Sus scrofa: one gene and its partner. The protein of the gene in region 1 binds, or shares a complex with, the protein of each later gene. Links are inferred from orthologs where the notes say so. Each region holds a gene or a part of one and is shown on either strand. Other genes may lie near its edges.

Region 1 (3,325 bases):
AGTTTCCCCCAGACAGTGCTCCCTGATGACCAAGGCATTGATCTGAGGACTGGGTGACAAGCACAGAGACTGTTTAGCAGGTGGTCCTGGGGTCAAGGTCTGGCTGTGTCATCCCTGGGGCCTGAGCAACAGACTTCCTGAGGCCAGGTTTTCTCATGAGGATGACAAGGGGCTGGAGCAGCTGGCCTGCAAGGTTCCATCCAGTTTAAAGGACTATAATTTTAGACCTGTCTAGAAGGCCTCTCCCAGCCCTAAAAGTAAGCCCTCCAACTAAGTTACTAAGTGGTCCTGGCTTCTGATTCTGCAGGGATGGGGCTTCCACTGGTAGGGTTGGTGTCCTGGGTTCCTGATAGGATGCGGGGGAGCAGAGGGATCAGGGACCCCCATGCTTTAGAGGCCCCGCTCTTCCATCACTGGGTTAAGATCTCCAAGCCCCCCATAGGGGAACTGTACAGCCTGTGGCACATCCAGTGCCCTATCATCTCTTTCTGTCTTGCACTGAGAAACAGTGGGCCTGGCGGCCCAGGAGTGCGGATGTGCACGTCATCTTGGTTTGGGAGGAAGAGGAAAATGCCAGTCCCCATCATCACCCACCATGTCTGCCATTTTGTCTTCTAGATTCCCAACTTCTTCTGGAGCCTGGGGATCGGTCACACTGGTGCGTGGTGGCATACTGGGAGGAGAAGACGAGAGTGGGGAGGCTCTACTGTGTCCAGGAGCCCTCCCTGGATATCTTTTATGATCTACCTCAGGGGAATGGCTTTTGCCTTGGACAGCTCAATTCGGACAACAAGAGTCAGCTGGTGCAGAAAGTGCGGAGCAAGATCGGCTGTGGCATCCAGCTCACGCGGGAAGTGGATGGCGTGTGGGTGTACAACCGCAGCAGTTACCCCATCTTCATCAAGTCAGCCACACTGGACAACCCGGACTCCAGGACGCTGTTGGTACACAAAGTGTTCCCCGGTTTCTCCATCAAGGCTTTTGACTATGAGAAAGCGTACAGCCTGCAGCGGCCCAACGACCACGAGTTCATGCAGCAGCCGTGGACTGGGTTCACCGTGCAGATCAGCTTCGTGAAGGGCTGGGGCCAGTGCTACACCCGGCAGTTCATCAGCAGCTGCCCATGCTGGCTGGAGGTCATCTTCAACAGCCGGTAGCCTCGTGGGGGAGAGGACAGAGCGGGAGCCGAGCGGGCCCAGTCCAAACTACTTTGCTGCTAAGATTTTCCTCCTGAGTGCTTGCTTTTCATGCAAACTCTTTGGTCATTTTTTTTTTCCTTCCTCTCGTCGTTCTTGTTTATGTTATGTTTTGTTTTGTTCTTTGAGAAATAGCTTATGAAAAGAATTGTTGGTTTTTTTTTTTTTTTTTTTTCCTCTTCGGGGCGGGTTGGGGCGGGGGCAGGGGTGGGCAGTGGTAAGGTTGGCAGAACACCCAGATCTGAAAAGGGGAAGCAAAAATCAGTGCCACCAAACACAGTGTAAATGGGGAGCAGGCCCCAACCTTGGGGTCATCGTAGCCCTTAGTAGGGCTTATGTGTGAGTGAGTGTGTGCGCGTGTGTGAGTGTAGATGGGGGAGGCGGTGTGCTCTGTGTTGTTAACTACGAATGCTCCCAAGCTGTGTCTCTAGCCCCTTGCACCTGCGCAGTGGGGCAGCAGGTCTCCCAGCAGCTGCCAGCAGCAAGGTTGTGTCCCCAGCCTGTGGAAGCCCCCCTGCCCCTCGCCACCCCTTCCTAGGACATTGGCCTGTCCGCAGGCTTCTTCGAAGCAGCTCTACAAGAAGCCGAACCAGAACCTATTTCCCATGCTGTCTCACTCGCCCCCGCCCCCTCCAGCCACCTCCCTGCCATCGTCCTTTCTCTTTTGGCCACCTGCTCCTGGATTGTCTCTGAGATGGACTTCCTGAGGGCTGCCGGGGCAGCCCCATTACAGTATTGCTCACCCAGTGCCCTCTCAGGCCCCTCAGCCTCTCCCCGTCCCTGGTTACATCAGGTTTTTCCTGGATTCAGAAAACCAGCTCAGCATTTTCCTTCCCTCCGCAGCCTGTGTGCTGAGCTCTGCTGTTAGACCAGTGAGGGGAGCAGCACCCCCCTGCCCCCCGCTCCCCCTTCCCACCAAGAAGGATTCGGTCCATTGTAACCCAAGGTACCATCCTGAGCTGACACCCCTAACTCTTCTCATTTCTTCTACAACTCATACACTCGGATGATACGTTGACACTGCTCTTAGCTCAATGAGCATGTTTAGACTTTAACATAAGCTATTTTTCTAACTACAAAGGTTTAAATGAACAAGAGAAGCATTCTCATTGGAAATTTAGCATTGTAGTGCTTTGAGAGAGAAAGGACTCCTGAAAAAAACCTGAGATTTATTAAAGAAAAAATGTATTTTATGTTATATATAAATATATTATTACTTGTAAATATGAAGACGTTTTATAAGCATCATTATTTATGTATTGTGCAATGTGTATAAACAAAAATAAAGAAAAGATGCACTTTGCTTTAATATAAATGCAAATAACAAATGCCAAATTAAAAAAAGATAAACACAAGATTGGTGTTTTTTTCTATGGGTGTTATCACCTGGCTGAATGTTTTTCTAAAGGAGTTTATGTTCCATTAAACAATTTTTAAAATGTATACTTGATTCCCTTGTTGTCTTCCAGCTCCTTTTTTTTCCTGGTAGGAGGGGAGTGGGGAGGTGCAGAATCCAGGACAGTTGGTGTCTCCTCGTGCTTGGTTGGGAGGAAAGGGGGGGACCACAGAAGGGAGAAACATCCAAAAGAACTTGGTCTTCTCTGAATGCTAGAAAGAGCCATACCTGCACAGATAGCACCTTTCTTATAAGGCAGTAACCCTAGAGTGTAGTTGGTGGGTGTCCTGAATTTGTCAACCTCAGGGAGCCCTGAGTTACAAAAGCAGGTGACTTTTTTCAAAGCTTGAAAAGTTGAGTTCCTGATGTACCTCAGCAGGGTAAGAACCCAACTATAATATCCATGAGGATGTGGGTTCCATCCCTGGCCTCCGTGGGTTAAGGATCTGGTGTTGCTGCAAGCTGTGGCATAGGTTACAGATGTGGCTCTGACGTGGCACTGCTGTGACTGGTGTAGGCCGGTGGCTGCAGCTCTGATTTGATCCCTTGCCTGGGAACTTCCATATGCTGCAGGTGCAGCCTTGAAAAAAAAAAAAGAAAAAAAATCTTGAAGAGCTTAGTAAAGAGAGTTTCATTTTGAATGATGGGCAAGGGGAAGAGGAGGTATAGTCCTAAGAACTTGGGGTCCATCTGATTCCTGCTTGCCAGCTCCTTGCTGTATGTTCAATCCTGA
Region 2 (3,817 bases), on another chromosome or scaffold:
AGAATGCCTCTCCCCTCACATAACTGATGCCTCACCTGGACGGCTGGGGGCTGGACAGGATGGACCCTTCGTCACCATCTGCGGCTTCCTTCTCACCGTTGGCTGGCTTCCTTGGTTATCCCCGGGTGCTGTCAGAGGCCTCTCACGCTCTCCTGGCCTCTTTCTCTGGAAACATAGCCAGACTTCTGATGGGGTGGCTGGTTTCTCAGAGAACAAAAGCAGAAGTTGTCAGATCTTTTTAAGGCCCAAGCCTGGAACTCCGCTGTATTCTCTTGGTTAAAGGCAGTCACAGGCCAGCCCAGGTTTGGTGTGGAGGAGGGACTGCCCAGAGGCACGAATACCAAAGACTCATTACTAGCACTTGGCCTATTTATACATAAGCATATTGTGAGTTTACATAAGAAATATATGTTTATATGTATTTCTTAAAAAGGCCAGAAAATGTTCTTGGTTTTACAAAATCACCTGTTGATGGGAGAGTTTAGAAGTGTTTAGTTAGATCATTTGGTTCATGGTATCTAAAGTTCTTCTAAATATTAAACTATGATGATCAGCTTTAAGAGGTAGAACTTGCCGTATGTACCAGAAACATGCATGTTATACTTTTTTGTACAGAATATGTCCCCAAGTCTTATTGGCTAAAATTTTCTAGTTTACATATGAGGCCCGTCAGTCTCATGGACTGTGACTAATTGGTACAGCTTTTTGGGAAAACAATTTGATACCACTTAGCAAAATGAAAACACATATGCCTTTTAACTAACAGCACCATTTTTAGGAATCTGTTCTTTGGAAACACATAAGTTGTTATTATTATTATTAGTCTTTTTGCCTTTTCTAGGGCTGCGCCCACAGCATATGGAGGTTCCCAGGCTAGGGGTCTAATCAGAGCTAGAGCCGTCCGCCTACACCACAGCCACAGCAACGCAGGATCGAGCCACATCTGCGACCTACACCACAGCTCACGGCAACGCCAGATCCTTAACCCACTGAGCTAGGCCAGGGACTAAACATCTAGAAGAATCTCAGGTTCCTAGTCGGATTCGTTAACCACTGTGCCACAACGGGAACGCCCCTGGAAACACATAAGTAATTAAAGAAACATGAATAAGGATGTTTAATATTACTTGTGAAAAATTGAAAACTGCTAAAATGTTTTTGGAGGAGAATGATTAAATGCATACATTAAACAGAATATTGTGTGGATATGAAAAGAAAGATTCTGCCTAAGCTGTCATTTAAAAAGCAGGTCTTAGAAGGAACAAAGTCTGCATTGTTTTGTACTCACACAGAAGGTGTTTGGAATGCTGTGTACCAACTAAAATGTTTGCCTAGGGTGAGGGGGCGAGGGTGGTGGGCCTGGAGTAGAGGGAAAAGAAAGTGAAAGAATGGGCTTTCAAAAGGTTTTACTCTGTCTCCACCTTTGTTTTTGTATAATTTTTCTTTTTTTTTTCATTTCTCATTTTTATTTTTTATTTTTACAGCTGCACCTACAGCAAATGGAAATTCCGATTCATGCCAGGGGTTGAATTGGAGCTGCAGCTAAGGCCTATGCCACAGCCATAGCAACTCCAGATCCTAGCCACATCTGCAACCTATGCTGCAGCTTGTGGCAGTGCTGGATCCTTAACCCACTGAGCAAGACCAGGGTACGAACCTCATCCTCAGAGAGACAGTGTCAGGTGCTTAACCCCCTGAGCTACAGCGGGAGTTCCTCTAGTTTTTAAAAAAGAATGAACGGGAATTTCCTGAAATTTGGTAATGTGTCATTTCCAAGATCTTGGACGGACTGCTCACTTCCAAGATCCCACTTTCCAGGATTCAGTCATATTTATAGCACACAGTAATTATCCTTTACCAAATAGTTTTGAAATTTAAAAAGTTACAAAGAAAAACTTTTTATAGATGTGCAGTTTTTCTGTCCCCTTAAACAATATAAAAATGAGGTTCTGGAGTTCCCGTCGTGGCGCAGTGGTTAACGAACCCGACTAGGAACCATGAGGTTGCGGTTCGATCCTTGCCCTTGCTCAGTGGGTTAACGATCCGGCGTTGCCGTGAGCTGTGGTGTAGGTTGCAGACGCGGCTCGGATCCCGCGTTGCTGTGGCTCTGGCGTAGGCGGTGGCTACAGCTCCGATTAGACCCCTAACCTGGGAACCTCCATATGCCATGAGAGCGGCCTAAGAAATGGCAAAAAGACCAAAAAAAAAAAAAAAAAAAGGTTCTCCAAAGGATGTAATATTAAGTAACTTCTTAAAGTAGAGAACTATTTCTCCAAGTTTAGAAAAGGAAATAGTGACAAACTGGGAATGTGAATAGTTCTGAGATTTGTGGGATAGAGAGGTTTTCCTGGGAAGATAGATTTTTGAAAAAAGCAATTCACTTAAAAATTGTAAATCCAAATCAAAAGCGTTAGTAGAGCTATACGTGAGATATATGTTAGTATTCTTTTTGTTGCTAAAATTACGTCTTCTAGGGCCTTTAAAGCCTATAGGAAAAAACGAGTTTTAGTCAAAAAGTGCTTGATATTGGCTTTTAGTGTTTCTCCTCATTTTGGATACAAGGATTGTCTTTACCTCCTCTTCCCCCATATACCACCCACAAAATGTGAAAATACCCAGCACTCTCCGATTATATTTTGAAACCAGAAAAATAGTCCTTTTTGCTTGAATGGGCTCTTTTTCTCTGGCCATTGGCATGAAGTTGAGAAAGAAATTTCATTCAGATTTTAACTTCAGGCCCATCTACACTTTGGCCAACTTCCAGTTTAACAGGAGTTTTTCTGATGTGAAGAGTAGCTGTATTGATGCTGCTTTTGTTAGGGGAAGGTTACCACTTTTTAATTGAAGGTGAACTGCCTCACAGCTCGGGCTCGGGATCCATCTATCCTCAGTAACCTGAGATTCTTCTAGATGTTAGACTAAGTTCTTAATGCTTGATTTTTGTGAAGTGCAATTTGCCACAGTGCTAGAGATTGATAATAATTACCCATCTGAATATATTTGATCATATGAAATCCCTGCCCAATGTTTCCAGGCTCTATGTGAACTGGAGATTTTTACGAGGCATTGAGGCGCAGTTCCTGGCTCTGCAGAAAGGATTTAATGAAGTAATTCCACAGCATCTGCTGAAGACATTTGATGAGAAGGAGTTAGAGGTCAGTGTATTAATATCATGGCATCATTTAGTGTAACAAAGGAAGGTCGGGACTTTGGTATTACTTACTTTTAGAGGAAAGTTGTCTTTCTGGTGCTTTTGAAGTTTTGTGATGCAATTCTGTGAGAATTCTAATTCACAGGAAAAGTCTTTCCTCCTTTGGAAAAGCCTTTTATGTTTGGAATTTCTATACTAAGCAATCTCTCTTATGTTGTGACTACTCTTAATTTATTTTTCCATATTACTCGTTCTTATGTTCAGTAGATTTTGTGTCTTATGTGTACATTCTTCCAGTGTTGGTTTTTATTCCCTAATTGGTGATTGATTTAGTGAAATAAAACTTTATTACTTGGTGTCCACCATACTGAAATTTATTTGGAATAAAAGCCTAAGTTCAATTGGATTTACATTAAGCTTTGCAAGAAAGCACTCGATAGACAAAAACGGAGAGAGAATAATTAAAACACTTAGGATAAACCCTATCGAAACATCTTTAGTCTCCTTGGAAACATTCATTACTAATAATAGCTATAATAAACATTTAACTGATTTTGTTTTAAAGCTAGCCTGTAAAGCACCTTAGGTCTGGTTTTATAATTAAGACCTTGAACAAATACATCTCAATTTCTGCTGAACGCCTTGAAGAAGCAATGAGGTTTTATT

What was found.
Region 2: the proteins of SMAD7 (region 1) and SMURF2 are in contact, whole or in part, in an NMR structure (PDB 2LTZ), measured with the Homo sapiens proteins. The link is inferred for Sus scrofa from reciprocal best matches to the Homo sapiens genes SMAD7 and SMURF2. Residues at the interface, in NP_005895.1 of Homo sapiens: Glu203, Leu204, Glu205, Ser206, Pro207, Pro208, Pro209, Tyr211, Ser212, Arg213, Tyr214, Pro215, Met216, Asp217; in NP_073576.1 of Homo sapiens: Glu304, Arg306, Asn307, Thr308, Ala309, Thr310, Arg312, Tyr314, Val316, Asp317, His318, Arg321, Thr322, Thr323, Gln324, Phe325, Thr326.

The regions. Positions count from the first base shown.
Region 1 is NC_010443.5:98,512,114-98,515,438, reverse strand, and holds the end of SMAD7 (mothers against decapentaplegic homolog 7), read left to right. Parts: intron 1-618; coding exon 619-1,157; 3' UTR 1,158-2,639; downstream 2,640-3,325. UniProt on the Homo sapiens protein: Antagonist of signaling by TGF-beta (transforming growth factor) type 1 receptor superfamily members; has been shown to inhibit TGF-beta (Transforming growth factor) and activin signaling by associating with their receptors thus preventing SMAD2 access.
Region 2 is NC_010454.4:14,480,120-14,483,936, forward strand, and holds part of SMURF2 (E3 ubiquitin-protein ligase SMURF2), read left to right. Parts: intron 1-3,034; coding exon 3,035-3,155; intron 3,156-3,817. UniProt on the Homo sapiens protein: E3 ubiquitin-protein ligase which accepts ubiquitin from an E2 ubiquitin-conjugating enzyme in the form of a thioester and then directly transfers the ubiquitin to targeted substrates.